Linked DNA regions of Nothobranchius furzeri. The protein of the gene in region 2 purifies or fractionates together with the protein of the main gene of each other region. This does not show direct contact. Links are inferred from orthologs where the notes say so. Each region holds a gene or a part of one and is shown on either strand. Other genes may lie near its edges.

Region 1 (5,064 bases), on a different chromosome or scaffold from region 2:
AGCTCCACAGGCGACTGATACAACTAGCCTCGTATGGAAGACAGGCGGTCCGGAGCTCCGTCTAGCTTCGGGGGTTAGCTTAACTAGCTAGAAGCTACATTGGTTCATTTGTTCCCACCCTCAAAGCCCCTCCCTCAGCTCCACCTCGTTTCCCATTTTTGGATTGTCTAAGCGTGGCGAGACGTGTGACACAGCCAAAATGGCGATGGTGGGAACTTCCCATTTTCAAACAATTAGAGAGATAAATTGGCGTTGCTCTGTCCAGAAATGAACATGTGTCTATGGCTCTGGCAAGAGCAACACAATTACAAGCATTTCTGTTTTATCATTTAGATCATAGAGCCTGCAAAATCAAACAGACAGAATGATCACCAATGCCGGCTACCTAAATTTTCCTGACACGGGATAACTGACCATCAAAATTAAACCAGTCTGTGAACTGGTCCTCTACCCCCAGTCTACCAAAAGTTGGAAAAGCAACAATCAGGAGCAGATATTAGATCTCATGGATCAAAATGGGGAAACAGAAAGTTGTCGAGGATAACAGGACACATCCAACATGTCCTCACATAAAATTATGGTTTCTTCAGGAGCTGTGATCACAAGATCAGGTGCAAGACCTGATGGTGGGAACAGACATAGATTTTCCATCTCAAAGGGAGAAGAACAGATGATGAAATGTATGAATTCTACTTGCATCTCAACTCAAAAGTGTGCTAATTTTCAAACATGTCAAATGCTGCAACAAAGTTCTTTACTTAAGCTGCTCCCCAGGAGAAAAAATAACCCTGTCTTAGTTTTGGGTGTCTGCAATGAACTGTTTCCTAGAGGAAAATAAAGATGATAGAATAAAAATTTATGTTTATTAATATGGTTCTAAGTCTTAATGGTAATCCTAGAACAGATGAAGAAAACTGGACTTCATGGTTTCGTGAAGATATTTAACTTCTCATCCAATGAACTTGATCAGTTCTTTAAATAATGACTGACATATGAGGGGAAGTGTCTCTTAGGTAAACGATTATATACGTGATTGCACAGCAAGGCCTGCATGAACAGAAGCATAATCTACTTTATGTGTTTAAAATATCATTAAACTCAAAAGTGATCAAATATTTTTCCTCCTGGAAAATAATTAAAAAAACTGAGATTGAAGTTGACTACAACATCTCACTATGGCCCGTAAGAGTTTTGAAAAGGCGGGCAGACATACTCCTGAAGTCTGTAAAATAACGCAAAAAGTCAAATAAAATAATAACTGATCAATTATTTAATAGTTTGATGTAATACACTATAGTAAATAAATAAAGCCTCTTTTTACTCTATTTTTTATTCATTTTTTTGAGTGTTGAAGGTTTCAGTAAGAGTCTATGCCTTTGTGTATTTATGATTTTCCTATTTCTCAGGGTGTATGTGCTGCCTTAACAAGTTAATTCTCCCACTGTGGAATAAATTGTCTATTCTATTCTATTCTATTCAATTCTAATGCTTCACCAGTAATTAAATGCTTCAATAAAATTCTGACATTTAAAATTCTAACTTCAAATAAAATCTTACATACCGTATTTAACTTTTGACGTATAAGCATGTTTTGAAACTACAGTTGCAGTTAAACACTCATCCTTTAGAGGGCACTGTCTCAAAAACAATAGGATGATACAATCGGCTTGAGTCTGCGGTCTCGATAAAGAATAAAGTTCACAATTATGGAAAAAAACTGCTTAATATTATAAACATTATACAAACGGTTAAAAATAAAAATGAAAAACTGTTGGGGGAAGACAATAAAAAAACATAACCCCGCCCATGCGAGGCACGCCGTGAAACGAAATAAACGCACTAGCTAATAGTGACGTTACAGACCAGACTAGCTGCTTCACGTTGTTGTAGAAGCTAGCCACCACTGCGCCAACGAAGGAGCCGATAGGATCAGCGCTACGTACCAAAAACATTCTACTTACTCTGGTAATTTCAAATATCTTGCAAAGTCTAAACTTTAGCAAGTTTGTTTGATTTCAGTTTAGCCATTGTGCTAGTTGTCAACGTAAACCGCTAGCCGGACGTTAGCATACTGAGAGCCTTCGCAGCCCCGGATATTGGTTACAAAGTAAGCCTTTATCCAGGTGGATTAAATATGAAGAAAACATTTTTACGTATTAATGACAAACTGGATGTTTTATTTTAGTGCTTTCCTTGTCTTATGTCCAAAATAATTGCATAACGTTCATGAAGTACAGCTGAGTTTGTTATTTACGTTTATTTGCAGCAGCAATTGAATGTTGCATTCTCGCGCCCTCCAATCTCTTCCTCCAAGTGGATTTCAGTGCTGCCCCCTTGTGGTATGAAGTTATATTACAACAGCCCTGATGGAAATAGTTGCGTTTCAGGTTATTTATGGAGGAAAACGTGTTGAATTTTTACATAATTTGTTTGTAATGAAAAATATGTGTAATACGCCTGAGTAGGTAGTTTGTTTGGAGCAGTAAATAAGTTTGAAGTCATTATGGTTTATACAGTTATGACTGCAAGTGACTAGTGAACATATGCAGCCATTTCCTCATGTTTTAGTGTGACTATTCCTAATTAAAGCCATGTTATCCGCAATCAAAACAGATTTAATCTTGTCTGTACCTCTAATCTCCCAGATAAAAGTATAGATACTTGCCTGACATGCTCATTAATGAGTACATAAATGCCTTTTTGATCCCACATTTTACAGCCATGTTTAGAATCTTTGTTGCAGCTTCAAAATCTTTTTTTCCCTTCCTGTAAAGATGTCTTCACCGACCCAAGGACACGATTCTGAGGCTGAAGAAGTGGAGTTTGTATCAGTAAGTTACGTGTATCTTTAACAAGCACTCAGGACAACAAAAAGAAAATGTTAATCCGGTGTAACAACCAAGTTTCCACCTTTTTGATATTGATTGGACACATTTTGCATTGACCTCTGCGTGGTGCGTGGTGATCAGTGTAGAGTGACATTTAAACTATGGTTATTGCAGCAAACATTCAGGTTTCAGCTCACTTTGCTCGTCCTGCAGGAAGGCCCTCTTAGACCAGTGCTGGACTGTATCGATCTGCTGAGTGACAGCGATGACGAGGGTTGTTCGTCTCGGGCGGTCACGGTAAGCATCTGAACAGATAAACGGTTTGTTGGTGTTCGTTTCTTCTGGAAAATGTTCTCATTTGATGTCCTCTGCAGCTTGAGGACAGCGTCACCCGAAACAAAGCACGGGTCATGTCCACGCTGGACAGGCTGGCACATAAAGTGGCTCAAGAGAAAAAGGAAAGAGCAGACAAATGTAAAGCATTCAAGGTAACTAAAAAATTTGCATTAAGTAGTATCCCCATTTCATGGCATTGTATACGAAATAGTGTTCACTTGGAAAAAAATATATAAAAATCTTTTTTTTTAAATCAAGAGATAATAAAGATAGAAAATAAGTAAATAAGTCACCTGCTGTTTTCACAACATAATGTTCTGTGCCTGTAGGCGTCATTAATTGGCTGTTTCATTCACTTTTACTTTGTTTTGGGATTGAGACACGGGGAAATAATCTCGTCTGGGTAGGATTATCATTAGTTTTTCGATTTTGAGCTGACATCTGAGGAATTAGCGTTTGTTTGGGCGCAGAGCCCCATCGGGTCATCTGACTATAGTCTTATTCACGTATATTTTTAGTAGTAGTATAAATACTAGTAAAACACTATTCCTAAAATACATCTCCCATATTATTTTGTTGATGCCAGCACATGAGAATGGTTGAGTGATACTCATGGAACAGAAATATTTTTTTCCACATTTTGTGTTATTAATTATTTTAGACACGATTTTTATGGTTTTATGTTACGAAGCTGCAACTGGGCATTATTTAATTCATTTTCAACCACATTTTGATGGATTTTTTTCAGAGATTAAAGGGAAAAACTACACATTGTCACTTTTTAAAGTGTCATTTTTTTTACATCATATTGAAAAAGATGCTTAAATATTATAGAAGCAGTTATCAGATGAAGTTTTAATTCTAAACGGTTAACATTCACAGTGGTTTTGTTTCATCTTTATGAATCCAAACAAACTGGAAAGCTAAAATATTTAGGTGAAATTAGAATATATTTAACATTTTTTATCACAAAAAATATGAAAATGGTTAAATGTCAAATAGGTTAGGGTCTGAATAAAGGCTGATTTAGCTGCAGGGACGAACGTGCCACCTTGTGCACACCGTAGATGTTACATAGACAACATAAATGATCTTCAGGAGTAAAATAAGATAAAAAATAATTTTAATATTTTGTTACTATGATTGCTCAAAAAACTTAAAACAAGTCATAAATGAATAAAGTTGAATGAGTTGAAGTTTTTATTTAGTTTTTAATGATGTCTGCATAATCAGCAGATACTTGTGTTTTGTGAGTCTGTAAAATAATATTCAGACTTCTAACATAGCAGCTCTTTTTGATTTTCAGGAAAAACAAATCATGCAGAAAGCTCACGGACAGCGCGAGCTGGCTGTTAGTTCTCCAAACGGGCGGAATCAGGAGGCAAAGCACTGTGTGGACATGTGGTTAAAGATGCCAGGTGACTTTTGTAATCCTAATTTCCTAAACATTGTATCACTGTTTTAGGTGACTGATTCAATTAATCCGATCCATCGTTTGTTTAGGCCTTAAACCTGGTGGGATCGGTGCTGACTGGGGCCGAAGACAGTCAGCTGCCGATTTCTCTAGAAACGCCTCAGCTCGACACACTTGTCCAGTGATCAATTGTGGCCGCGTTTATGACAACATTTCCCTCCTTGGTGGGCACTTAAAAAGGTAATCCCATTACTCTGCTGTTCGCAGCAGCTTTTATTTGGAGTGTTGGCCGATATTTTCCACCTTTGCTGATCTTCGGTCCCTCGTGTGCAGGTTTGATCACTCTCCCTGTGACCCATCCATCCATCTCAGCGGGAGTCCGTCGGAGCTCTTTGCTTGCGTTGCCTGTGGTCGGCATTTTCAGACCAAAGAAGAGTGGAAGAAACACGTTCAGTCTAAGGTGATAACGAAACATTTATATCTGGT
Region 2 (5,181 bases):
CTGAACACACAACACTATGAACCTTGAGGCAGATGAGCTACAGCAGCAGAAGACCACACTGGGTGCCACTCCTGTCAGCTAAGAACAGGAAACTGAGGCTACAATTCACGAAGGATCACCACAATTGGACAATAGAAGATTGGAAAAATGTTGCCTGGTCTGATGAGTCTCGATTTCTGCTGCTGCATTCTGATGGTATGGTCAGAATTTGGCGTCAACAACATGAAAGCATGGATCCATCCTGCCTTGTATCAACAGTTCAGGCTGCTGGTGGTGGTGTAATGGTGTGGGGGATATTTTCTTGGCACACTTTGGGACCCTTAGTACTGATTGATCATCGTTGCAACACCACACCCTACCCGAGTGTAGTTGCTGACCATGTCCATCCCTTTATGACCAGTGTACCCATCTTCCAGCAGGATAATGAGCCGTGTCACAAAACTCGAATCATCTCAGACTGGTTTCTAGAACATGACAAAGAGATCTCTATACTCAGATGGCCTCCACAGTCACCAGATCTCAGTCCAACAGAGCTCCTTTGAGGTGTGGTGGAACGGGAGATTTTCATCATAGACGTGCAGCCGACAGATCTGCAGCAACTGTGTGATGCCATCATGTCAATATGGACAAATCTCTGAGGAAAGTTCCCAGTACCTTGTTTAATCTATGCCACGAAGGATTAAGACAGTTCTGAAATAAAAGGGGGTCCAGCCCAGTACTAGCTAGGTGTGCCCAATAAAGTGGCCAGTGGATGTAATGTACTCTGGTAGGTCAGCATTTTGTAGCTACCCCAAATCTTCGGCCATGTCACAAGACATTTTCCAATGCCATGAAACACAATAGAAGCTGTACTTGATCTTTTTGCTGACCACCTCTTTAACATAACAGTGATTCTTTTCAGCAGCTGAAAAACTTTATTTCATCTTAAAGAAGCCAACTTCAATCTTATTTCAATTCTAAGACTCTCCGAGTTGACCACTTTTGATGTTACATTCAGATTAGGTGATATTAACCCATTAAAACAGGATAGTTTTGACTTTTAGTCTGAATGAGTTAAAGTACTAACAACATGCCTATTGATCATCATATAAACTTACTGGCAGCATCTTGCCATTGAAGAACACCTTCACTCCCTTAGAAGATCCAGCAATGTCATATGCCCTCCTTGTCATCAGAGCCACGGTGTCTCTGTCCAGGGTGCTCATCTTGAACTTGGAGAGATCAGGCCTGAAGGTGATGCACGTATACTCTTCCCCATCAAAGGGCTTGATTTTGGCATCCTCTGATCTGCCCATGTTGTCATACCAGCTCTGTGGAAGACATGAAAGTACAGTAGAAACGGATTTTCCTCTAACAAATTAGAACAATAACAAGTTAAGTCGTAAACAAGGTCAATGTATTTTCAAGTTTTCACCTGCTTGAAAACCTTCTTTGACTCTTTGCAGGCAGTCTCCACTGTGAACTTGGTGCTGAATATGTTGCAGAGCTTGGCACCGTATCCATTACGACCACCTGAAGAACAAGTCATTTTATACCAGTGATCCCCAACTCCCTTCCCCCTAGAGCCAGTATCCAGCATGTTTTAGTTGTTTCCCTAATCCAACACACTTCTTCATCAAGCTCTGCAGAAGCCTGTTCATTTCCTGCTGACTAAAATCAGGTGTGTTGAAGCAGGGAGAACAGTGAAACGGAGTTGGGGATCATTTCTATACAATCTCTGGCTTCACTTTTGGCCCCTTCTCACTCAATGCAGCTTTTTAAGTGGCTTTCCATTACCTTCTTATTAGCAACCCAACATGGAACTGCCCAGGCAAACTGTGACACGCCAAACACGTAACCAAAACCTAAATCTGATCTCACCAGTGACTTTCTTCTCATCATCATCGTAATTGCTGGAAGTAAGAAGCTGTCCAAAGATAAGGGCGGGCACATAGACCTTCTCCACTTTGTGCTCCACCACAGGAATCCCCTTCCCATTATTCCAAACACTGATGGTATTGTTCTCACTAAAAACAAACACACATTTTGGCAGAAGGTGAAAAAACAGTCAGAGAAATCACTAACTGCATTTAAATGTAAAGGGTAGTATTATAGAATACTCACACATCGATGCTGACCTTGATGCGGTTCATATTTTTATCCCTCTGCTTATTGTCAGCTGCATTTACTACAAAGGAACAAAATAAATGGTTAAAGGGTGTTTGTTGGCCAGCGGCACACATTTAAAACTCGTGAAAGCGCCTACTCACCAAGGATCTCATCAAAAATCTTATAAAGCCCTGGCACAAACGTCACGTCACGGCAGTTCAGGCCATCAAGCTCATCATACACCCACATTTGCTAAAGAAAAGAGTTAAACTCATGATTCCTGAAACACCAAAATAAAATAAAATGTTTCCGAGAGACGTGCCTAAATAAATGAACATATATTATAATAAAAATGGTGGTGGGGCTGTTCTTACTTGAGTGACAGGCTCAACAGAACCAATATAGGTGTCTGGTCTGAGCAAAATGTGCTCCAACTGGGTCTTCTTCTGGTAGATCCTCTCCACGGACATTCGCTTCGGATCTTTCTTTGTCTTCTCCACCGGCTTGTTTTCTAAAAAGGCCTGCGAAAAATGTCACAGTTACCGTCCAAATGTACACAACAGGACCGGTTTTATTTAGGTTTCAGATCAACGCATGTGACGCCACTGGACCGAAGAGTGTCACGGAGCTTTACGATTTTAACGCTACAAACGGAATAAAAATAATCGTATGTGCAAATAACACGAAACTGCGTCATCAAATATCTTTCGAGGCTTCTTCAGGAGCAGAATATCAACAAGTTTAGCGCGAGTCGCCATTTAAGCCTCATCTTTCCAATTACTCGGTTTTCTATTTAGTTGGGACAACTTTTCGATAGTTTGGTAAAATTGAACGACTTAATTGAACTGTGTTTGTTTGCTTCGAGAGGAAATTCATACATTATAGTCAAATGTACCCTGTTTTAGCAACGTAAAAGATGGCGTTAGAAACTTAGTCATTTTATTCGACATATATGTGTCATCTTTACAAGAAGGCCGAATACATTTGTACATCTAAACGTTGCTAAATATTATTTTTATTATGCTAAATATTACGTAGCTAAAGCTGTTAACACATGAAGCTAAAACAAAAGCTTGGACACTTTTTAACAGTTGATGTTTGGCTACGAGGACAAACACGCTAGCTCAACGCTGCTAATATTAAAGGTTTGAAGTTACCTTCAGCGGTTCAGCCATCTTTCTAATTCGTGTTGTTTTTAATATCGTAAAAGATGAGGATTGAACAAGTAGTAAAACAGCTCCAGACTAATCCTATGGTCGCCGACGTGATCAAATCCTTTGAAAATTCGAAACTTGGTCCAACGGTTTCGCGCCAGGTGAATTCACCAATCAGACGAGTGACTCTTCTTCTTCGTCTTCTTCGTGTTTATTGGCGGGTGGCATCTAACTTCTAGGTGCATTTCCGCCACCTACTGTGCTGGAGTGTGAGTCGGAGTAAGAGCGTAAAAAACCAAGTGGTGCTCGCTGCAGAACCACAAAGGCGGAGCTGCACCAGAAGGTGGAGCTGCACCAGAGTCAGCCCCGCCCATTCCAGAATCAGCCCCGCCCATCCTATCGGAGTCAGTCCAATTCCTTCCAGTTGTCAGACTTGATAGCATTCTGGAAACAAAGAGGGTGTTATAGCTAAAAAATGCAAGATTGAGGAGGGAGTTGAGAAGTTAATTGAACAGTTTTTGTAAAGGTTCCATATAATTAAAAATCTAACTTTTGGAACTTTTAATCATGTTATATTGTCATTTCCTCATAAGAAACACGCCAAAGCCATTTTTGGCCTCATTCATGCATTTTCTTCCCATCTCAGCTTCAATTTGGTCTCCTCCCCCAAAGTGGGTCTGGTCTTGGTTCTCAAATCTGGATATTCTGTGAATTTTCTGACAATTTATTTCTGAAATGACTTCTACTGAGACACCGCCAGAAAAATCATACATCCCATCTACAAAGACACACCAAATAACATAATAAAATGTAACGCCACCTGATTTTTATCAGATGTGGTGGTGTAGTGGTAATGGTGTCAGGTTGACATGCAGTTTTGCGCAGGTTCGCCTCCCAGCAGTGGAAATATTCTATAATCTCTTTTCCTCATTTCTAGCTACACTTGCCAGTACTATGTTTACAACAATTTATTGGTATGCCGTTTAACATATAATGACTAATGTGTTTTTTTTATTTATTCATTCGTTTATTTAGCCAGTGTGAGTCCATCTGTGAGCAGAGTTTCAACTAAAATGCTGTTTAGGAACGACCAAATTCAAAGAACTTGTAGAGACATAAATATTTTGCTATAAATGAACATTACAACTAAAATATGAACAAATTAAATGTTTCAGCTGGCTGAATAGATTGTTGCCGACCCCACCGAGAATCGAACCAGCATCAGCTGAGGGGAAAGCAAAACGTTAGTCAGACGATCTTGCCACTGGACTACCAGAACCCACAGGAAGGGTACATGCTGTTGTACAGGACTTTTGTTAGAGCGGCTGTGGGCAGATATTCGCTACGAGAAACCTTTTTATTTCGGGATATATTCAGACTTTGTCATGTAGCAAGTTATATTTATCTTGTTTAATTGGAGCACAGAACATAGCATTAACGACTGTAAACTAGTAACAGCCGTAATTCATGTGGGTCAGGTCAGTTTGCGATAAAGTTGAAAACAAAAACGGAAGTCAGTGGGCTAGGCTGAGTTTGCGTGAATGGGCGGGGTTGACTCTGGTGCAGCTCCACCTTATGGTGCAGCTCCGCCTTTGTAGTTCTGCAGCGAGCACCCTCTCTAAAAAACCCCAACTAAAAACTAAATTCTATTCAACAACAAACCACTGTGTTTTAGATACTCAATAGCCAACTTATAATGCCTTTCTTCACCATTTAACAAATTCTTTACATTTATCACTCCACCTCCTATGTTTTTTAATATCTCCCTGAGTTGTCCTCTTCTTTCCTCATATTTTATACAGTTACACAAAACATGTTCCACTGTTTCTCGCCGTTAAATAACCAAACATGCTCAAAAGTGGGCGACTTGTGATCCCTAAGGCTTGCGATGCATTTAACCCTCTTCACACGCTCTTACGCCACACCTCCAAACTCTCAC

The links.
Region 1: the proteins of top2a (region 2) and znf451 purify together in Homo sapiens (affinity purification with mass spectrometry; 3 studies listed by BioGRID and IntAct, with this or other methods). This does not show direct contact. The link is inferred for Nothobranchius furzeri from reciprocal best matches to the Homo sapiens genes TOP2A and ZNF451.

Annotation. Positions count from the first base shown.
Region 1 is NC_091752.1:19,659,865-19,664,928, reverse strand, and holds the start of znf451 (E3 SUMO-protein ligase ZNF451), read left to right. Parts: upstream 1-1,838; 5' UTR 1,839-1,965; intron 1,966-2,774; coding exon 2,775-2,831; intron 2,832-3,041; coding exon 3,042-3,125; intron 3,126-3,202; coding exon 3,203-3,316; intron 3,317-4,470; coding exon 4,471-4,582; intron 4,583-4,667; coding exon 4,668-4,818; intron 4,819-4,911; coding exon 4,912-5,062; intron 5,063-5,064. UniProt on the Homo sapiens protein: E3 SUMO-protein ligase; has a preference for SUMO2 and SUMO3 and facilitates UBE2I/UBC9-mediated sumoylation of target proteins. Plays a role in protein SUMO2 modification in response to stress caused by DNA damage and by proteasome inhibitors (in vitro).
Region 2 is NC_091756.1:31,454,702-31,459,882, forward strand, and holds the start of top2a (DNA topoisomerase 2-alpha), read right to left. Parts: upstream 3,495-5,181; 5' UTR 3,264-3,494; coding exon 3,246-3,263; intron 2,610-3,245; coding exon 2,463-2,609; intron 2,341-2,462; coding exon 2,250-2,340; intron 2,168-2,249; coding exon 2,104-2,167; intron 2,007-2,103; coding exon 1,861-2,006; intron 1,513-1,860; coding exon 1,415-1,512; intron 1,311-1,414; coding exon 1,098-1,310; intron 1-1,097. UniProt on the Homo sapiens protein: Key decatenating enzyme that alters DNA topology by binding to two double-stranded DNA molecules, generating a double-stranded break in one of the strands, passing the intact strand through the broken strand, and religating the broken strand.